Oryctolagus cuniculus: one gene and its partner. The protein of the gene in region 1 purifies or fractionates together with the protein of each later gene. This does not show direct contact. Links are inferred from orthologs where the notes say so. Each region holds a gene or a part of one and is shown on either strand. Other genes may lie near its edges. The genes, in order: RAB24 and GDI1.

Region 1 (11,007 bases):
GGGGGTGCAGCGGGCCACTCGCCCGCATGTGTGCAGGGGTGCAGTGGGCAGGCTCCTTCACGTGTGTGCAGGGGCTAGGAGGATGCAGTGTGGCTACCAGGAAAAAGCCCCTCTGTGTGGCTTGGGTCCTCTGTGCTTTTAATTTCCAAATCTATTAAATGGGAAGAAAAGCAGGGGTTGTGCCATGGCTTCAGCGAGTTCGCCTGGAAATGCTTATCGCTGTTGGGAGAGCTGTGACCGCTGAGATCCCGGCTTGGGGACCCTGGCAAGTCGCTGGGCCCATCTGGGCTCCCCTCTCCTCCTGTTTGACAGATTCTGTGAGAAGGTTCTGTGAGAGTCATCTGTAAGGGTCCCTTGCTCTGTAGGTTAGCCCTGGCTCTCCCCTTCCCCACCCTGCAGGGCCTCGTCTTTTGGGCCGTTTGACATGATGCTACCTTGGGGGGCAGTTGCAGACTCCAGGAGAGGGAAAGGGCTCAGAGGAGGCCCACCCCCAGCCTGCCTGGCAGGGCCCGGGCGCTTCCTCCGTGGAGCCCCACGCCCCCTGGTGGACAGGAGCGAGTATGCCAAAAGGCCGGCTCAGGCAGCCCAAGGGATTTCCGGATTAGAAGTGGTTTTGGAAACTATACTCATGGAGGACTTTGCCTACCACTCTTGGCCCTTTTGACAAAGGAAGAGCTGGATGCAGAGCCAGGCCAAGGGCCAGGTCACACGGCCGGTGCGAGGCAGGTGTGGAATCCAAGCTCAGGTTCCCAGCGTGGCCTCTTTCTTCAATGGGAATTACTGAGTGCCTGCTCTGCACCAGGGGCCTTGGCAGAGACACAGCCCGGCAGATAAACCACGGTCATGGGATGTACTCACCCTGTCCCCTGACGCTGTCCCCCCCTGCCCAGTGGCGGAACAAGTCTGGCCGGCCCATGGGCCGGGTCTGGGTGTCAGGTGGACACCGTGTGCCGATGACACGCTGCCTGGCCCCTGGGCAGGACCTAGAAATTGCTCCCTCCTTGAAGCCCCATCATCTGCTCCTTGGCCTACTTCATCCCGGCCTCCTTCTTGGCCTCTCCCAGGCAGTCTGCCATTTTGCCCTAGAATGAGCTTTACTTCCTGTGAGACGCCAGGCCCCACACAAGCCCCTTGGCTGCTGTTTTTGTCTCACCTCTAGCCACTCCGCACAGACTCTGCCCTGTCCCGGTGCTGCTGCGCCCACTCTCCCCTTCTGGTTGAATGGCTGCCCTCCTGGGGCTTTGCCCAGGAGACCTCTTGGCTGTCCAGCCACTGGAGCTTCGCGGCTGGCAGGGGTGCCCCCCACCCCCTGGGGACTGATGCCCAAAGTCTCAGGGTTCCTGGGAGGGGAGGAAGCTGCGCCGCAGTTAGACACTGGCAGCTTTGTTCGGTCTGCAGCTTTCTAACAATTTAAATTAGCTGGCAGCACTCCCAAGGCCATTCGCTGAACCAAATCTGACTTCCCAGCTCCTCTTGCACGGGGAGATCTGGCGGGCAGCGTTGGGCAGGCCCCAGGCGGCTGACCCCGCCCTTGCTCCTCCTGGTCCACAGAAGCTGGAGGAGCAGGAGCAGCGGGCCCGGCGGCTCAAGGAGCGGCTGCGCAGCCAGCAGCAGAGCCTGCGGCAGCAGCTGGAGCGGCTGCGCGGGCTGCCGGGCGCCGGAGAGCGGGAGCGGCTGCGCGCGCACAGCCTGGACTCGTCGGGCCTCTCCTCGGAGCGCTCGGACTCGGATCAAGGTGAGTGCCGGAGGCCCTGGGCCGCGTGGCGCGTTGGCGCGTGGCCGTGGGCCCTTCTGACCGGCTCCTCCCTGTGCAGAGGAGCTGGACGTGGACGTGGACGTGGAGAGCCTGGTGTTTGGGGGCGAGGCGGAGCTGCTGCGGGGTTTCGGCGCGGGCCGGGAGCACAGCTATTCGTACAGCGCCGGCGCCTGGCTCTGACGCCAGGCTCTGCCCTGGTGGCCTCGACCCTCACCTTCTGCGCATGCTGGTTTGAGCCCCTGGACAGAAACCCCTCCGAGCCTTAAGGGCTGTCTGGAGTCATCTGTTGGCACGGACTAAAAGGACCCTTACATGGGAACAGGTGCTTGGCCTACCCTGCTGCTGGCTGCCAGGCGGACTCTGGGGGTTGGAGGCGCCTGGACCTCCCCAAGCCTCTCCAGGGAAAGGGGCCTGCTTGCCCGCCCCCCTTCCAGGCCTGTTTGTAGCACTTGGCTCAGGAAGCCTCTTGAACCCTCACGTTCCTCCCGGGACATGGCACCCTGGCCTCTGTGCCTCGTGTCCTGCACAGTATTCGCATTAAAAGCCTCTTTTGTAACTTCTGCTCCTGGTCTTGCCTGATGAGGACGGGGAAAACCCCAGCCACCAGTGGCACCCACTTTGCCTGGGGCCGGCAGCACACGGCGGAGTCAAGGTTCGAACCAGCGCTTTCTGACTCCAGAGTTGGCGCGGAGTGAATTCAACAAATATTTATTGAGTGCCTGTTATGCACAGATATGGTTCCGGGCGGCTGGGACACATCGGAGGACAGAACCGAGCCCTGCCCTCATGGAGCTTACAGTCTGTCATGTTTCCCCGCCACTGATCCCTGCACCTCTGCCAGCAGCCGCCCGGGCTCGGACGCGGCTGACACCCACCCCCAAACAGCAGAGAGGGCTGGAAGTGGATTTTTAATAATAAAGTACACAGGAGGGGGCGGGTGGGGGGCTGAGCGCACTGTGTGGGGTGCAGTGGCAGCGCTGGGGAGGGCCTGGGTCCCAGCAGGGCCAGACTGGCTACACGAACTGCTGCTGTTGCTGCTGCTTCTTGGTGGCGGCCTTGTTGGCCAGGTCCTTGGCCTTTTCCGTAGCTGCCAGCGCCGTCTCCTTGGCCTTCTCCGTGGCTTCCTTGGCTGTCTCAACAAGCGTCTTGGAAGGGGCCTCACCTGCAGCGAAGGCCAGGGCCGGCTTTAGGTACAGAGGGTGGACACCCCCCCCCCCGCCTCCGGCCCAGGCTCCCAAGGGGCTGCCCCGAGCTCTCACCTTGCAGCTTGGCCAAGATGTACTCAAAGCCCTTCATAGTCTTGGTCACATTGCTTTTGAAGCGGGCAAGACCAAATTCCTGGCAAGAGACAAGGGGAGGATCCTAGAAGCCGGCTCGGACGGCAGAGGCCCGGGCCCCACAGCCCCGCTGACAACTACTCACCTGAACCGCTCTGGAGACGCCAAACAAGCTGGAGGAGACCCAGGCTTCCCGGCGGATTTCAGTCCAGCCGCTGTTGTCTGAGTTCACACAGTAAACACATCGCTCCTCCACCATCTGTGTGGGGAGTCAGACCAACCACAACCACGGAGTCTCTCACTTTACCAACGCCAGCATCAGTCTGAGAAGTACCGGTGTGAAAATAGGTTCCTCCCCATGGCGCATCCCCAGCCAGGGTCGGGGGACCAGGCGGCCACACCCCTGGGTGTCGGGAGCCTTTATGCCTCGACGCGTACGGGGTGTGCAGCCTGGCTCCCGCCGACTGCGGCCTCCTCGGAAAGAGCACCCCCCTGCCAGATGGGCCCCCGCGGTCACCGGGCAGGAGCCCAGAAAGCGGGATACAGTGCGGCCGCGCTCACCGCAGCCCGGCAGGACACTTCCCCTCTCTGGCCCTCACTTCCCTCTTTGCAGACTGGGTAAGTGAGCTGAGAAAACAAGCTGGGGAGGGGGATTCTCTGAAGCTTTCAGGGTGTTCACACGCTGCACGTGGGCACCAGTGCTGGGTGCCGTACACAGGGGCTTTGCTTGGTGCCCGCAATAGCTCTGCAGGAGCCCTCCCGGCATGCACTGGCCAGCGGAGACGCTGTAGAATGATTCTCAAGCCACGGGCAAGAGAGCACAGGTGATGTTTCCCACAATCTCTGGAGCACTCCCATCAGATGAGGAAGACACTTCTGGAGTGAGTGGGAGTGGTGTGGGGCAGGGGGTGGGGACGTTGTGGCGCAGTGGGTTAAGTCACCTGTGACACTTGCATTTCATATCGGAGCACCAGTTCGAGTCCGGCTGCTCCACTTCTGATCCAGCTCCCTGCTAATGCGCCTGGGAAAGCAGCAGAAGATGGCCCAAGCGTTTGGGCCCCTGCACTTGGGAGGGGAGACCTGGAAGCAACTCTGGGCTCCTGACTTCAGACTGGCCCAGCCCCAGCCATCGCGGCCAGTTAGGGACTGAACTAGCAGATGGAACTCTGCCTTTCAGATAAAAAAAAATGAATCTTGAAAGAAAAAAAAAAAAAAAGAAAGTGGAGCAAGGGGCCATAGCCGCTCCCCGAGGTGCACGCAAGGCCGCCATCTGATGGACGCCCACCCTCAGCATCACTCCTGCAGGCCCCACCCAAAGGCGCGTCACGCAGTTTCCTGAAACAGGTGCCTCTCCCCCAGGGCACGGCTGAGTCAGGGCAGGGGCAGGGCAGGCTCCGGGCCACCCGGTCCTCAGGAATCTGCCTCGGTTCCCTAGCCACCTGCTCCTGAGCAGTGTGCTTCGGGGGGTGGGGGTAGGGGCCCCGGGGAGGTCTCACCATCAGCCGGGCGTGGTTGATGTTCCAGGTGAAGGTGGTCATGGTCTTATTCTGTGGGTCCACTATAGAGTCCTCCAGGATGTACACCGAGTGAGCAACATTGGCAGGAAATAGTCGCTCTGCCCAGCGGGGCATCCTGTTAGTCTTGGTCAGGAGTCGACGGGACAGGAGCTTCCGGTCAGGGGTCACCTCCCGGTGGACTATGTCTTCAGTCAAGACATGTTTGCTGCAGGTGTCAGAGTGCAGGTGACCATCGGGAACCTGCCCCCAGGGAAGCTCCCCGTTGGGGTTCCCACTTGGGGCAGCCCTGCCCAGCGCGCCACCCCTGCAATCTCGCCCAGTGATCTGGGCTGTGGCTCAGACTATCCCAGGGCAAATTCCAACTGCTGCCCTACCTCACTGACCTGGATTCCTGGCTTCCCGGCAGGGCGGGGCCTCGTGACTTCCTGCACGGGCAGACCCATGGGCAAGTGCCTGACTTGCAGCCCCAAGATCCCTCCCAGGGCCCGTGCGGCCGTCTCTTCCCGTCCCAACGTCCACAGAGAGGGCCTTGGCAAACCAGTGCCCAGGCCCAGCCACCTCCCAGGGCCTTCCGAGTCCGGCCCGGCCACTTCCTAGATAAGGCCTGCTGCCCTTAAGGCGGTCACGATTCCGGAAAGCCCTATGTCGGCCTCGATCCGCGGTTCCCCTTAGCCCCATTACTTGGGGGGATCGCCCGCACTTCGATCTCGACAGGGCGGAGATGGTGCCGGGGGTTGCTCTTCCCAGAGTCACGTACCTATAGGGATTCGGGTATCGCTGCCAAAAGGCAGCGAATACTTGGTCCCAGGAACTTCGGAGCACGCTCTGGCCCAGGAAATACTTCACCATCGTTAGTCCGGCCGGGGCGGACTCAGCGTCCGCACAGCATCAGGCGTGCGGAGCCCGGGGGCACGCGGAGGCCGGGCCGGGGCTCGGCGCACGCCCGCCAGGCTCGCAGCTCAGGTCAGTCACCTCCGCGCCGCGCCCAAGCCGCTGCCCGCCGCCGCCATGAGGAGCTGGCCAGCCGCGCGCCACTTCCGGCGCGGCGGCACAGTCCACCACTTCCGGCGCCGTCCACGTGACCTCTCGGCTCCGCCCCCTCGGCCTAGCGCCCCTCCCTCCGGAGTCGCGGCGCTCGCTGCGGGTCAGAGCAGGGTTCAGGGGGGACTCCGGGTTCAGTTGGGAAGCCTACCCCGAGCGGGAGTCCCAGCCGGGCCGGCGGGCGGGCGACCCGGAGGGCGAGCGCGGGACGGCGGCGTGCGGCGCGGCCAAGGTTCGCTGGCCCGCGCGCTCGCAGGCCGGCCGGGGTCTTGGGCTCTCCGAAGATACCCGGCGCTCGGGGCAGGCAGAAGAGCGGAGGCAGACGGGGAGGACGGGGGCCGAGCTCTGGCCTGACGCGGGGCCTCGAGCGCCGGGCTAGCGCGTGGGGTTAGGGGCCGAGCGGAGGTCGGGTGTGCCTCAGGACCCCGCCGTGGGTGAGGCGGCCCCAGGAGCATGAGCGGGCCCCGCGTGGACCTCAAGGTGGTGATGCTGGGCAAGGAGTACGTGGGCAAGACGAGCCTGGTGGAGCGCTACGTGCACGACCGCTTCTTGGTGGGGCCCTATCAGAACGTGAGTGCGCCAGCTCGGGGCGGCCGCGCGGGGAGGGGCCGGCACGCTCCCGCCGACCTGACCGCCTGCCCCTCGTTGCAGACCATCGGGGCTGCCTTCGTGGCCAAGGTGATGTCTGTAGGAGATCGGACGGTGACTCTAGGGATTTGGGTAAGTTTCCTGGGCACCCCGTTCGCGAGGTCTGCAGAGGGGGGCTCTGACCTGGGCCCCCGAGGCCACTGCCCAGCCCCAGGCCCTGGTTTCCCCTTCTGGAGGCTGGGGCTTGCTTTGCAGTCATGGGGGATTCTAGCCTGGTAACCCAGGCCGGGGCTCAGTCCTCCCCTGATTTTCAGGACACAGCAGGCTCTGAACGCTATGAGGCCATGAGCAGGATCTACTATCGGGGCGCCAAGGCTGCCATCGTCTGCTATGGTAAGAGGGGTTCTGGCCTATTCCTCAAGCAAGGTGTGGGTGCCTGGCGGGCCTCAGAACAACCCCTGACCCTCGCTCGCCTTTCCTGCATGCCCCACGCCAAGACCTTACGGACAGCAACAGCTTTGAGCGAGCCAAGTTCTGGGTGAAGGAGCTGCGTAGCCTGGAGGAGGTGGGTGGCCACACCTGGCTGGATGGGGGCCTGGGGGTGGGAGCTCAGTGGGTCCGTGGAGCCCACCCTGACCTTGGCTTCTGCTCCAGGGCTGTCAGATCTACCTGTGTGGCACCAAGAGCGACCTGCTGGAGGAGGACCGGCGGCGGCGGCGTGTGGACTTCCACGATGTCCAGGACTATGCAGACAGTAGCTGCTGCTCAGCCCCTGAGGGGGTGGGATGCGGGCGGGGAGTGGCTGCTTGGGTGGGCTACAGGCAAGGTACCTGCTTGGCTTCCTTGCATCTTTGGGGTCTGGGAGACTCTGAACTGCTAGGCTCCCTCTTTGTCTACTGGATTCTCAGGTGTGAGGCTTCGTCACTTCTCTTTACAGATATCAAAGCTCAGCTCTTTGAAACGTCTAGCAAGACAGGCCAGAGTGTGGGTGAGTGCTGGTCCTGGGGCCTCGCAGCAGGAACGGGCAGGGGCACCCCAGGCAGTAGAGTAGACGAGCCCTCTGGGCCCTCACCGGCCCTCTCTTCCTGTCAGACGAGCTCTTCCAGAAAGTGGCCGAGGATTACGTCAGCGTGGCTGCCTTCCAAGTGATGACAGGTGTGTGCTCCCCCGGACCGCCTCTCAGCCGGGGCGTCGAGCCCCGCCGAGCCCCGCCTGACCCCGTCCACGGAGCTAGGTGCTAAGCTGCCACCTCTCTTTCACAGAGGACAAGGGCGTGGATCTGGGCCAGAAGGCAAACCCCTACTTCTACAGCTGTTGTCATCACTGACTCGCCACTCACCTGGCCTGGGGAATAGTGGAATTCCCCAGGGGGCTGGACCCAGCTTTTGTCTGGGCTCAGGTGGTCCAACGTCTGAGCTACCCCAGGTCCCCATGGCAGCAGAGGTGGCACCGGCCTGTGCTGGCCCATGGAACGGAGGCAGTGTGGGCTGGCTGTGGGCATGAGGAGGGCTAAGGACCGATCTGGACCCCAGGCTTCTGCCCTGGACAACACTTGTATCTGCAGATTACTTAAGTGGCTTCTGATCTGTAAATAAAGTCAGTGCACTGTGACTCACACTCAGCCCCTTTCCCTGCTGTGTGGACCCGGTGTCAAGACACCTAGCTCTGAGAGCACCGGCCTGGCCTCACTTCTATACTAAGGCTCCTCCTATCTCTTACTTTCCTTTGGAAACCAAGGAACCTCAGCCCCGGGTTGCAGAGGAGCCCTTGGAGAAACAAGAGGTTCTTTGCTGTTCTTCAGTGAGAGGCTGGGGTCGGGGCACTACAAAGCTCACCATTCCTACTAGGTGCAGAGGAAGGCAAGGAGAGCACTCAGCCTGTGCAGCAGGGGCAAGCCCTGCTTAGATAATAAGGGGGCCTGGTAGGCCTGACCGCGTCTGTCGTGCCTGGGCCTGTGAGTCAGGCCTGTTGTTCAGATCCTGAGCTTCCCAGACATTCCACAGTGTGGCTTAATGGAAGGAAAGTCATTCAGTTCTGCAAGACAGAAAGGTCTCATGGATCCAGATTTGGATCCCAGCTAGCTACTTAGAAAGGCAGCCACACACTCAGCCTGAGTTACTCCTCTGTAAGATGAGGGGGCTGCTCCCCAGCTCAGGACCGTGAGCATCCTAGGGGAAAATGAACTCTGGTACCAAATGCTCTTCCCATACTCCTCCTCTGACAGCTTCTTGCTGGAAAGGCAGGAAGCAGACTCCCGAGGTTCTCCCAAAGGTATCAGGCCTTAAAGGTCCAAGTGTCTCTGAAGGCTCATGGGTTAGGGTACCCAGGGCCAACGCTCCCTGTTCAACAAGAAGCCTTTTCGGGTATGGGAGGTGTTGCCCTGCACCAGGAGCCTCACTTTCCAACTCACTGCTTTGCTGCCTTTATGCTCAGACTGAGCCTTGTACAGTACTCAACACCTGCCTCTTAAGAATGTAAAACTTGACCAACAAGCTCTGACTCATTTGAAAAGTGCTTTGGTTCTACTTCCTTTTTAAAAAACCAATTCCTCAAAATACACTTCCTTCACGAGTGATGGAGATTTCCTGTGGAAGGGGACTGAAACTGATACCAACCACTCCCAACAAGACAGACATGTAGCCCATAGCCACGGGGAGGAAACCCACACTACTCCCCCATCAAGGGCCTGGAGGGAGGCTCAGCTCTGTTGTGTTGCCCACTGGGGAACTCTCTGGGGTGGCTTTTGTTCTCACCCCAGACCAGTCCTCTGTCCTATTAGGCTACACCTCCCCAGAAACAATAAAACAAAACACAGGGCAAGGGCCATAAGAGTAAAGTTAAACTTTACTTTACAGTAATTTTTTTCTATATACAAAGAATTACAGTACATGTTTATGGAGACTCCTAGCACAGGGCTCCCTCTTTTTCACTAGGAGTTTCACTTAACAGCTGACAATCTGTGGGGCCGGGGAGGGGGGAGGGCAGAGAAAACCGTGACGGACCTTGGCTGACCCCCGACCCCCCGTCCCCCTTTCTTAAAAATATAAAGACAGATCTCTGTCATCAGCTTGTTGCTTTGCCAAGACCTAAACAGCTGCTCTTCCAGGAGCTCCTGTGTGCTGCACTGCCCATCCAACACACCTCATCACCTGCACGCATGCAGGCAGCACCCACCGTACACCTGGACACTGCTGGCTCTGCCCGACCCTAGAGGTTTAAAGCACCCAGAACCATTTCTGCTTCTGCTTCCTGTGCTTGCCTCTTGTCCACAAAGCTCGGCTCAACTTCCAGGGTGTTAAACCTGAAGCCCTCTAACAGCCTGATGTTTTCAAAGCCATGGGAAAGCAGCTCTAAAGGAGGGCTACACAAGAGTTGAACAGGCTGTTTTTGCTTACACTTGTAAGACACATTTCTTCCAAGGCTGTGGATTTCTAATTAAAATAAACTCTTTCCACGTCCTTAAGAAATATTACTCTTCATATTCATGAGCTATAGAGGTGCTCCCATGAGACTGGAAGAGGTAGAGAGGGGCAGGAGGTAACCCAGGGAGACCCCACACCCAGAGCTCTACCAACCTGTTCCAGGCAGTGTGGACGGAGGCTTATGGACAAGGTGACCCCAGCCCTGAGAAACTCAATGGCCACCTTCATCTGGACACGGGATCTCTTCCACCTCTGGAGAATGCTGGACTAACTCCAGGGTTGGGTGCAGGCTTTGCTGAGGCTCTGCTGGGTCCTCACCTCTAACAGAGCCTGAAAAAAAACCTTTCTACATAAATCTCCCAAGTAGGAACCTGGGTTTCTCAAGTCACCAGTCCCTCAATCCATGGCAGTGCTTATTTATACCATGAAATTAGCACCATCATTACTTTTTTTTTTTTTGTATACAAAGCAATTATCTACTCTTATTTCAATTTAGCTACAGCAACCTCTGGCCCTGCTGCCCTGGCCCTAGGAAGCTCAGCTGAGAGCTAACTGGCCACAGCCAATCAAAGCCTCTTGCAGCCACCTAGCTTTAAATGATCTGGAATGTCTAACATGGAACAGCTCGGAGGTTACTCAGCAGGGGAAGGGGGCTTGAGGCAATTCCTTTCTTGCCATGATCCACAGAGCACAGGACACTGGGCCCCTCAGACCTGGCCGATAAGCCCCAAGAGGGTGACACTATTCCAAAACAAAGCCTTAGGAGAAAACCCACTTTATAGGAGCAAGTTCAGTGCTTTCCTGATCCCTCTCCACGGGGACAGTGCCAGGACTGGACCTCCTTCCTGCCGTTCTGCTCTCATGAGGCAGCCTGGGGGGGGCAGCTCCAGCGAGCAGGTGGTGCTGAGCCCGGGACAGGACTGTGAGTTCATGTCCTGACTGTAGTGCGTGGGGGATTCAAAGAATAGAAGTTGTATTTTTTTTTTTTTTTTTTAAATCAATGCTAAAGGTGTGGATCAGCACAGTGATTTACATCATCAAACTCAGGGACTTCAGGAGAAAGCAGACGTTTTTTTAAAAACGTGGACACTTTGGAGCGGTGATAGCTGTTTTGCTATTAGAATGGGTTGGCTCCACCAGGAGAAACAAATAAGGCTTTGAATGCAAACTTCAAACGTTTCCATAATTTCTTCTGACTTTACAAGCTTGCCCCTCAAAAAGCCCTCCAAGGGAGCCGGGTCGAAAGCAGGCTATCTTGAGATCCAAATACCACAGTACCAATCCTGCACAATGATAAAAGGTTTCCTTTAGCTGCCTAGTTGCACCCTCTTAGGGAAAAGGGTCTCCTTATAGGCTTGAGGAAGTCTAAAAGGGCTGGCGAAGTCACTCCCTCCCCACCTTCACTT
Region 2 (10,634 bases), on another chromosome or scaffold:
ATCCCCCACTCGGCCTGATGCCCCCCAGTCCCTCCCATCCAGTCCCCACCCATCGCCCCCACCCATCACCTTCCTAGTATTGTGCCCCCCCAACTTATACTAATCTTAGTAGGGGTGAAGTACGAGGACCTGGGGTTAGGGGGCCTTGCCAGGTTGGGGCCTCGTCCTGTGTTCCTGGCTGCTTCTGGGATCAGAAGAGCCAGGGAATGTTCCAGAATAACTAACAGCGAGGGCAGTGACCACATTCCCGCTCCCCCACCCTGGTTTCCCATGGAGACCTGAGGCTGAGCAATATCTGCAGCCTTTGTCCTTGGGCTGGTGACAGTGACTAGGGAGAATGTTCATCGTCCCCCTTCCCCCACAGCGTGTTCACCCGCTCCCCTGAGAGACACATTTCCCTCAGGCCAGGCCCAGATGCCCCTCCTGAGCCCAGGTGGGGAAGGCTTAGGGTCAGGGGCTCCTGGCCTTTGACGACGGAGCAGCCGAGGGTGGGGCCTGAGAGTCCAAGTGCCTTTCTTCACTTCCCTTTTGGGCGCCCTCTGCGGCCTGGCCAGGTCCGCTGTGTGCCTCATTGTGTCTTATCTGCCGGATTGTGCGGCTCTGCACTGATAGAGGACTTTCTTGGCAGTCGGTGCCATGAGACTGTCCTTGTGTCTGCTGGACACTCTGTCTCCCCCGACTCCTTCATTATTTCTCTCTGGTTCACCTCTGCTTAGCAGGGTAAAAAAGGAGACGGGCGGATGTAGCCATCGCCACCAGTGTTAGGCAAGGCGGCGGCGGCGGAGGCTGGGGGCGTGGAAGGAGCTGTCCATTGTGGCAGGCTTGGGGAGGAGAACAGATCAGGGCTGCTGGTGCGAAGTGGGCAGGTGGGAGCGCACCGGCTGTCCTCACACCCCTAGGAGTGCATCCTGTCTGGTATCATGTCTGTGAACGGGAAGAAGGTGCTGCACATGGACCGGAACCCCTACTATGGGGGCGAGAGCTCCTCCATCACTCCCCTGGAAGAGGTAAGGCTGCCAGCCTGGCCCAGGCCGGGCCCTTGGAAACCTCTCACTGGAGCCATAGTGTAGCAGCAGCGGGTGGCAGGGAGAGGGAGGGCCAGTCCTTGAGGTGTCTCTCTCTCTCCCCCTCCTGCTTACAGTTATATAAGCGTTTTCAGCTGCTGGAGGGGCCCCCTGAGTCGATGGGCCGGGGCCGAGACTGGAACGTTGACCTGATCCCCAAATTCCTCATGGCCAATGGTGAGGGAGATGGAGGAGCTGCTGCGGTTTTCCTAGGGGCGCGGTGGTGACTGGGAAGGACCGGAGGGGGTTGGGCTCCAGACAAGGGCCCGCCAGGCTGGCCAGAGCTCCTGCAGGGAGCTGTGCTGATGTTGTCCCCACCACAGGGCAGCTGGTAAAGATGCTCCTGTATACGGAGGTGACTCGCTACCTGGACTTCAAGGTGGTGGAGGGCAGCTTTGTCTACAAAGGCGGCAAGATCTACAAAGTGCCATCCACTGAGACCGAGGCCTTGGCTTCCAGTGAGTGTGGGTCTCCCGACCTCAGGGCGGGTGGCAAGGTAGACACCGGGAGCCGGCCACTGTACGCCCGAGGCTGCATCCCCTGTGAGGTAGCAGATGGCCCTTGCTCTGTTCCTGCTGCTGCCATGTGCCTCACCTCACAGCGGCTTGCTAGCAGGGCGATCCGCGTGCAGAGAGGAGTGGAGGGTGCTCCTTTTCGGAAGCCTGTGACAGGGGCTCCGCTTGAGCCCTGGAACATCTCTAAGTGTCGGAGCCAAGAGGGCCTTCAGAGTGTGCCCGGCCCAACCCCCTCTTCACATGGGTGGGGAAACCGAGGCCGAGACAGGTAGATTACGCTAAGGTCATGTGACAGACCTCACTGGGAGCCGGGATGCCAGCTTTCTCGGCCAGCCCACGGGGGTGGGGTTGGGGGGGGGCGGGAAGGAGAATTTTGTATTCTAGTGCAAAGGGTCCCCCCTTGCCGCCTTCTTCAGATCTGATGGGCATGTTTGAGAAACGGCGCTTCCGCAAGTTCCTGGTGTTTGTGGCAAACTTTGATGAGAATGACCCCAAGACCTTTGAGGGCGTCGATCCCCAGACTACCAGCATGCGTGACGTATACCGGAAGTTTGACCTGGGCCAGGATGTCATTGATTTCACTGGCCACGCGCTGGCACTCTACCGCACTGATGAGTGAGGGGAAGCTGGTGTGGCGCGGTCCCCTTGCCTGGCCTTTACCCTGCCTCCCCAACACCTGCCCACTGCTCCCTCTGCCTACCCTGCACATTTCTCGTACTCAGCCATAGGCTCCCCTGTTGCCTGTCCGCCCCTCCCCTGCACTTGACCCCCCGGCTCCCCTGGGCCATTCGGGGTGGTGGGGTGAGCCAGGGAGCCTGTTGGAGCATCTTCCCTGACCTCTGTCCCCCCAGCTACCTGGACCAGCCCTGTCTGGAGACCATTAACCGTATCAAGTTGTACAGTGAGTCCCTGGCCCGGTATGGCAAGAGCCCATACTTATACCCACTCTACGGCCTGGGCGAGCTGCCCCAGGGCTTTGCAAGGTGAGAACGTGGCTTTGTGTAGTTGGGATGACTAAGTGGGACTGAGAGCAACAATAGCAATGCCTCCCTTGGGGATTTCCACAGCATTTCCTACTCTGACATCTGAGATGGGGACACAGCCCCAGCACAAAGCCCTGGGAGGCAGACTCAGGAACCTTGAGTCTGCGCTTAGTGGGGAGCTGGACTTTGTTCTGGTCCCTCAGGCTCCTCTTTCTGTGTGGCGCTGGTCCTTCAGGCCACCCTCACACTAGCCCTTTGCAGGATATTCTAGGCATGGAGTTCCAAAGACCACAGTAAGATGGGATGTGACGTTTTTAAAAGATTTATTTATTCCAAAGGCATATATATATATATATATATATATATAGAGAGAGAGAGAGAGAGAGAGAGAGATAGATAGATATCTTCCATCCTCTGGTTCACTCCCCAGATGGTCACATGCCCAAGGCTGGGCCAGGCCAAAGCCAGTAGCCAGGACTTTGTTCCAGGTCTCCCATGAAGGTTCAAGGGCCCAAGCACTTGAGCCATCTCCTGCTGCTTTCTCAGGCCATTAGCAGGGATCAGAGGTGGAGCAGCCAGGACTTGAACTGGCACCCATATGGGGTGCTGGTGTCACAGGTGGTGGCTTTACCCGCTACCCCACAGTGCTGGCCGGGATAAACTGCCGAGGGTCCTGACACCGCCTGCCTGGGGAAGCCTCCTCTATACCTCAGTGGTGGCAGGGCACGGTGCAGGAGACTTGGTCCCCATTTCTCCTGGGAGGGGCACTTGAGCTTCTCTCCCCTTCCCACAGATTGAGCGCCATCTACGGGGGCACATACATGCTGAACAAACCTGTGGACGACATCATCATGGAGAATGGCAAGGTTGTGGGTGTGAAGTCTGAGGGAGAGGTAAGCCTTCCCCAGGCCATGGGGCCATCGTGGTTAGGGCGGGGCTCGCCTACCTCCTCTGCTGCCAGGTCTGCTGCACACCTCAGCCCCAGGGCTTTAGAGCTGAGAACTGGGGGTCCAGAAGCCATTCCTGTTGGCGGGAGGTCCCCTTCAGAGGTGGTGTACTGGGGCCAGTGCTGTGGCGCAGCAGGTTAAACCACTGGCTGCAACGTCGGCATCCCCTATGAGCACTGGTTCCAGTCCCAGCTGCTCCACTTCCGAGCCACCTCCATACTAATAGCTTGGGAAAGCAGTGGAAGATGGTCCAAGTGCTTGGGCTCCTGCTCCCACGTGGGAGAGCTACATGGAGTTGCAGGCTCCTAGTTTAGATCTGGCCCAGCCCTGGCTGTTGTCATTTGGGGAGGGAACCAGGAGATGGAAGATGTGTGTGTGTGTGTGTGTGTGTGTTTCCTTCTGTCACTATGTCTTTCAAATAAACAAATCTTTAAAAGAAAAACCAAAAAAACAAAAGCCACAAAGATCACGAGCTGTGTGTAGTGCAGAAAGCACTGTTGATCACAGTGTGCCTGCAGCCGGGGCTCACCCCATTTCTGGACTCACCTGCCTGCCCTGCCGGCTGTGGCTGTGCGTTCCAGGAGAGTGGAGCCTCTGCCTGCTGCCTGGCCTCGTGCGTGGGCTCAGCCCCACGAGGTTTTAGGGCAGGGATCGGACAGAGGTAAAGCCCTCCGATGCCTTCACAGGTGGCCCGCTGCAAGCAGCTGATCTGTGATCCCAGCTACATCCCAGACCGCGTCCGGAAGGCTGGCCAGGTTATCCGCATCATCTGTATCCTCAGCCACCCCATCAAGAACACCAACGATGCCAATTCCTGCCAAATCATCATCCCCCAGAACCAGGTCAACAGGAAGTCAGGTAGGCCGGGGCACACGTGACGTCCTCCTGGGTGTTCTCTGTGGGCTTGCTCCGTCTCTCCCTGTCAGCCTTGGGGCTCCCCACCTGATCCCTCCACAGCAGAAATGAGAGCCGCGTGACAGTCCCCACGACTTGGGGCCCCAGGGATTGGGTGGCTTGGACTCTTTCTCCTTGGGAGGGTGACAGCCAGGATGCTGCCCATTGTGTGGGGCGGGGTGATTGGATCAGGTGGGCCAGGATCCCATGCAGCCCCTAGGCGCCTTCTCTTTGCATGGTGTTCACTCTGGCCCGTGCTAACTGAGCACTTCCCGTGGCCAGACATCTACGTGTGCATGATCTCCTATGCACACAACGTGGCTGCGCAGGGCAAGTACATCGCCATTGCCAGCACCACAGTGGAGACTGCGGAGCCGGAAAAGGAGGTTGAGCCAGCTCTGGAGCTGCTGGAGCCTATTGACCAGAAGTAAGGGGTTGCACGGAGCCCGAGGGGGTGGGGAGGACCAGGAAGGGCGGGGCCTGTTGCGAGGCTTGTCTCTGCCTCTCAGGTTTGTGGCTATCAGTGACTTGTACGAGCCCATTGATGATGGTTCTGAGAGCCAGGTAAGTGCCTGTCCCAGCCCCAAGTCCCGGCCGCCCACCCGGCCGCCCTGCCCAACTCACCTGAGGCCCTGGGCTCTGGCTGTTGCCAGGTTTTCTGTTCCTGCTCCTACGATGCCACCACACACTTTGAGACAACCTGCAATGACATCAAGGACATCTACAAGCGCATGGCTGGCTCAGCCTTTGACTTTGAGAACATGAAGCGCAAACAGAACGACGTCTTTGGAGAAGCTGACCAGTGACTGCTGCCCCTGCTGCCCCCGCCGCCCCTCCTGCGTCCTGCAGGGCCAGGGAGATGTGCGGCAGCACCCCTGTTTCCAGCATCTCTGCTTCCCCCACCACATTCCTACTACCCACCTCATTGATTCACTGACCAAATCCTTAACCTTAGCGATGGTTTGGGAGATGGGGGGTTGGATAGCATCTCTTCCTTGGCCCTTCCTTATCCTAGGAAAAGACGGTTCCTTTCTTCGTGCGTGTCTCTTCCCCTCGCCCCTAATTCTTCTGCTCTGTCTGGGAAGAACATGGAGGAAAAGCTGGCTTCTGCCCCCACCGCTCTTACTCCTACTGTAGTGGCCTTTGGAGATGCCCCCTGCCTCCCCCCACCAACTCTCGTGTGTTGGAAAGAAGGGGCCCTCCCAGCACAAAATTGCATTCCTTTTCCCCGTAATTTATTCTAATTTATTAACTGCAGCCCACCCCACCTGAGCCTGCATCCTCCTAGAGCAACCTGGGGGCTGTCCAGTGAACTCTCCCAGCCCCTCCCAGTCCTGGCCTAGCCTGGGCAGCCGGGAAGGCTTAGGTGTGGCCCTGGTGGAGTTTGATCTTCTGTTTTGGTTTCTTGTCTGTGTTTGCATTCTCTGGTACTTGAGAGAGAGAAGAAATGAGAGCAAAGCAGAAGGAGGTGGGAAAATGGATCCCGACCCCATGTGCCCTGCCCCACCCCTTTCCTTTAGTGGTGGGAAACCCTTACTTACCTTGCGAAGTGAATGTGTCCCCTTCCCCAACCTCTAGTGTATTTCACGGAAAACAAAGCCTCCCAATAAAACCGTGTTGAAACCTGTGCCTGCGTCTGTAGTTCTTGGCAGGGCCTTGGCTCCCTGCGTTGGGGTCTGACTCTGGAAGCTGACATTCTTCATCAGGGCGTTTCAGAGGAGGCTGACATGCAACTGATCTGCCCAGGGCCCTCCAGGGAGTTAGTGCTGGCACCAGGACTGCCACCTTCAGGCCTGGTGAGGGAGAGAACTCGGGCCCCGCTTTGGATGGGAATCAAAAGTCCCAGGTAGGGTAGCAGGGATGCCAGTCTCCAGATCAATGGCCAATTAGGTGAGGGGGAGCGTGGACAACCAAGGCCTGACGTCAGGCAGGGAGGAGGCAGGAGGACTAGGGGTTATGTCCTTGGGTAGAGGTCCACAGCAAGCAGGTGGAGGAAATAGGGTGACCAGGGGGTTCCAACGTGGAGTCAGGGTTAATAAGCAAGCGCAGGAAGCCGGGGCCCCCAACCTCCAGGCCAATGAGGCATGGGAGTCAAGGCTGGGAACCGGCCTAGCCCCGGAAAGCGGGCGGGGCGGGGCGGGGCGGGGCGGGGCGGGCGGCGGTCACGTGCCTGGAGGGCCGGCGCGGCGCGGGGCGGGGCAGGGCAGGGCGCCCGCGCAGTCCCTGGTGACTGACGTCACGCGTCAGCTGACTGCGCCGCCGCTGCCTCTGCCTCCGCCTCCGCCGCCGCCGCCGCCACCGCCACCGCCACCGCCACCGCCACCGCCACTGCCACCGCCGAGACTCAGCCGGGCCGTTGTCAGTGTCGCCGCCGCCATCGCCATGGCTCAATACAAGGGCGCCGCAAGCGAGGCGGGCCGCGCCATGCACCTTATGAAGAAACGAGAAAAGCAGCGCGAGCAGATGGAGCAGATGAAGCAGCGGATTGCAGAGGTGCGGGCCGGGGCGCCTCGGAGCATGCGCGCCGCCGGGGCCCCCTGGCGGCCGCGTGCGACGCTGGGGCCCTGGGAAACCCCGGGCGGCGTGCTGCGAGTTCTTGGAGGGCTGGCCCTGCGCCGGGGCGGGGCCCTTGCTTGTCGACCTCCAGCAGGAGCCGGAAGCGAGCCAGCGGGTCTCATCTGTAAAATGGGCCCAGGATTTGAGCTAGCTGGATTGTAGCTAGAGTCTAGCAGAGAGATGTCACCCTCTGTGTTTGTGTTGATGGGCGCCTCCACGGCCCTTCCCAAGCACAGCGCATTGTGGCTCGATTCCCTCCGCTCTCGGGGCGAGGTTCCTGCCCTGACCCAATGGGTACTGGGAAGGGCAGACCCTCTCCCCAGTAGAGCTGCAGGGGGCGCCCCGCAAAGCTTGGCTTCTCCGCCGGCCATTGAGGCACATTGCAGATCCTCTGTGCGCCCTGTTCGCTCACCAAAGGCGAACCTTCGGGTGCTAGTGGTCCAAGCAACACTTCAGCAAGTGTCCAGTGAGAGTGGGCTGTCAGCAGGGGAACCAGTGTCGCAGAGGCCTGCGTGCCCAGGGACAGTCTGGCAAGCTAAAAGTAGATTTCTCTGCTGGCCACATCTTTTGGAGACCCCAGAGGTGGCTCAGTGGCACCAAGTGGCTGAGGCTGCACGGAAGAGGCCTTGTGGTAAAGCTGTTGGCAACATCGGGAATCTGGAGGGAGAAAACTCGCTCCCAAAGGGGCTGGCTTCCTTGACCATTCTTCTGGGCTGCAGGAGCTTTAGCTTAAAGGCTACAGACAGAAACAGCCAAAGGTGAGGTGGTCCCAGGCTACCCAGGGAACATTACCCCCAGCCTCATGGACCCTTCCATCAACAAAGGAAAGGGGACATGTCTTTTCCAGGGTCACATTGTAGTGACTCGAGGGGCAGATCTAGGACCAGCACCCAGTTCCTGAAAGCGTGCTGTTTCCAGCTGGAGTAGCCGGCGGGGGGCGGGGGCAGGGGCGCGGGCGCGGGTGCTCATCGCCACTCTCACTCCCGGACAGGAGAACATAATGAAATCCAATATCGACAAGAAGTTCTCTGCGCACTATGATGCGGTGGAGGCTGAGCTCAAGTCCAGCACCGTGGGTGAGCAGGGCGCATGTGCCGTCGTCGCCGGAGCCCAGGGGCCACTGGTTTGCTGGCCCGAGTGGCTGACCCGCCCCATGTCCCCTTGCCTCACAGGTCTGGTGACCCTGAATGACATGAAGGCCAAGCAGGAGGCCCTGGTGAAGGAGCGGGAGAAGCAGCTGGCCAAGAAGGAGCAGTCGAAGGAGCTGCAGCTGTGGGTGCTCGCGGCACCTCCTGGCTATGGAGCTCGTGCCCGTGGGCCCCTGGGCTGCTGGGGAGGTCCCGTCTCGCAGTCTCGCACAGGGGGCTCTGGGTCAGGGAAGGGAGGACATGGGACGTGACGCCTGCGTGCCCTTGATAGGAAGCTGGAGAAACTGCGAGAGAAGGAGCGCAAGAAGGAGGCCAAGCGGAAGATCTCTAGCCTGTCTTTCACCCTGGAAGAAGAGGAGGAGGGGGCTGAGGAGGAAGAGGAGGCAGCCATGTACGAGGAGGAGCTGGAAAGGGAAGGTGAGCGTGGGCTCGGGGCAGGCGGGTGGGCTCGTCCTTCCACAGTGGTGGCTTGGGTTCCTGGCTTCTTGGCATAGGAGAGGAACGCACGGGTCCCAGGCTGCACTGGGTTTTAATTTTTAAAAATTTTTGTAGAAGATTTTATTCATTTATATATGTTGAAAGAGGGAAGGACAGAGGTCTCCCATCTGCTAGTTCACTCCCCAGATGGCCTCAATGATCAGGGCTGGGCTAGGTGGAAGCCAGGAGCGTCTTCCGGGTCTCCCACGTCGCTGCAGGGGCCCAAGGCCTTGGGCCATCTTCCACTGCTTTCCCAGGCCACAGCAGAGAGCTGGATCGGAAGTGGAGCAGCTGGGACTAGAACTGGCACCTATATGGGATGCCGGCACTTCAGGCCAGTGGCTTGACCTGCTACTCTACCATGCTGGCCCCCCCGCACCTTTTGTTACAGCTCAGTGTGGGCTCAGTGTCAGAAGCAGACTGGTACCCAGTCCGAATGTTCCAGAAGCTGCTCTTCACTAGTGCTGCGCAGGATGGTCTCAAGCCCAGGCTGGCTGGTCCAACCTTGCAACGTTGGAAGTGTTCGCATGGCCCGAGATGGTAGCCGCTTGGCACGGGTGGCCCAAGCGCTTGCCATGTGACTGAGGCCCCTAGTAGTTAATTCAGTGTTGAATAGTTTCCACCTGATCTTACATATCTGCTGAAATTCAGTGGCTACTGGTTTGGCCCCAGAATTAGGGGCCATCAGGTACAAATTGGGAAGGCTGGGGAGGGAGGCAGCCCTGTGTACTGTACACCTGCTCGGTGCCTGGCCAAGGGCCCTGCAGGCCCTGTCCCTGTCTTAGTGGCAGTCACAGGTCAGGCAGAGTGTCCCATGAGGGAACGATGGAGGTGGGCCTGAAGGATGCGGGAAATCTCATTGCGGAGAGGGGGCAAAGATCACGCTTCCCAGGCCTGGGAAGGGGGCAAGAGGAAACCAAGGCAGGGGGTGGCACTGCATGGCTTTCAGGAGGGAGAACATGCCAGCCACCTGCGGCTTTGATTTTGCATGTTTTAGCAGGCATGATGAAACAGAACAAGAACCAGGTGTAATTTCAGTAAGAAGTTGTATTTAACTGGCTGGATTGCAGATGCTGCCATGGTAACAGGCGGCGCTGGCTGGGTGCCGGGGGCTCAGCCCCATGTGTGGCAGGAGCTGCAGCTTGGGAGGGGAAGGCCCACCGTGCCCGCCTCCTCACCGTGTACTTGTACAGAGCTTTTAGGAAACTGCTTCATGGGCTCCTGTCTCCCTCTGGGGGTTTCATTTTAAGGGGCCCAGGGATGGGAGGGCAGTGTCCGTTGTTGGTTTGTAAGTTGGAAGTCCTCCCAAGCTCACAGTGTTTTCATATAACAATGCCGACATTCTCTGCTCCAGAGGTCACCACGAAGAAGAGGAAGTTAGGGAAGAATCCAGATGTTGACACAAGCTTCTTGCCTGACCGAGACCGTGAGGTAAAGGCCACGGAGCCCTGGCTCTGCCGTTGGCCCAGGCCCTGACCCTGACCCCAGCGCTGGCCCTCACTGCTCTGCTGGTTTGCTCCCTCAGGAGGAAGAGAACCGGCTTCGGGAGGAGTTGCGGCAAGAGTGGGAAGCCAAGCAAGAGAAGATCAAAAGTAAGCACTCGCGGACTTGGAGGTGTGCAGCCCGGCGGGCGGGGGGCCCTGGGATCCGGAGAGGTGGAGCAGGAGCACAGGCTGAGCCCCGAGGAAGCCCGGGGGCGGGCGCACGGGGACACCCGGATGTGGAGGCCAAGGGCAGCTGTGCTTTGCAGGCGAGGAGATCGAGATCACCTTCAGTTACTGGGATGGCTCCGGGCACCGGCGGACAGTCAAGGTGAGCAGTGTGGGCCCAGCGGCCCTCGGGTTTGGGGGAAGGCTTTGGGAGGCCCCCTGTGGATTCAGAGGGCAGCGGTGGGGGTGGGGAATGAGGGCCCTGGGCCTCTGCCCCTCTGCCCCGGCAAGAGCCCTCTGTAGGCATCTGTGTTGGTTTCACTGCTGGCGTCTCACACAGATGAAGAAGGGCAACACGATGCAGCAGTTCCTACAGAAGGCGCTCGAGATCCTTCGCAAAG

The links.
Region 2: the proteins of RAB24 (region 1) and GDI1 purify together in Homo sapiens (affinity purification with mass spectrometry; 3 studies listed by BioGRID and IntAct, counting the BioPlex papers as one, with this or other methods). This does not show direct contact. The link is inferred for Oryctolagus cuniculus from reciprocal best matches to the Homo sapiens genes RAB24 and GDI1.

The regions. Positions count from the first base shown.
Region 1 is NC_091437.1:63,299,297-63,310,303, reverse strand, and holds RAB24 (ras-related protein Rab-24), read left to right. Parts: upstream 1-5,671; 5' UTR 5,672-6,044; coding exon 6,045-6,161; intron 6,162-6,242; coding exon 6,243-6,311; intron 6,312-6,493; coding exon 6,494-6,572; intron 6,573-6,676; coding exon 6,677-6,744; intron 6,745-6,833; coding exon 6,834-6,933; coding exon of another isoform or gene 6,934-6,959; intron 6,960-7,116; coding exon 7,117-7,167; intron 7,168-7,271; coding exon 7,272-7,334; intron 7,335-7,441; coding exon 7,442-7,506; 3' UTR 7,507-7,796; downstream 7,797-11,007. Other genes in the region: MXD3 (max dimerization protein 3), read left to right, coding at 1,552-1,735, 1,815-1,936; PRELID1 (PRELI domain-containing protein 1, mitochondrial), read right to left, coding at 2,770-2,918, 3,016-3,118, 3,179-3,292, 4,530-4,755, 5,308-5,399.
Region 2 is NC_091453.1:132,668,499-132,679,132, forward strand, and holds the end of GDI1 (rab GDP dissociation inhibitor alpha), read left to right. Parts: intron 1-899; coding exon 900-1,007; intron 1,008-1,141; coding exon 1,142-1,241; intron 1,242-1,387; coding exon 1,388-1,522; intron 1,523-1,995; coding exon 1,996-2,194; intron 2,195-2,430; coding exon 2,431-2,562; intron 2,563-3,355; coding exon 3,356-3,455; intron 3,456-4,195; coding exon 4,196-4,367; intron 4,368-4,685; coding exon 4,686-4,830; intron 4,831-4,912; coding exon 4,913-4,967; intron 4,968-5,056; coding exon 5,057-5,209; downstream 5,210-10,634. Other genes in the region: protein FAM50A, read left to right, coding at 6,786-6,896, 7,951-8,035, 8,132-8,231, 8,379-8,524, 9,939-10,015, 10,110-10,176, 10,335-10,396, 10,574-10,634. UniProt on the Homo sapiens protein: Regulates the GDP/GTP exchange reaction of most Rab proteins by inhibiting the dissociation of GDP from them, and the subsequent binding of GTP to them. Promotes the dissociation of GDP-bound Rab proteins from the membrane and inhibits their activation.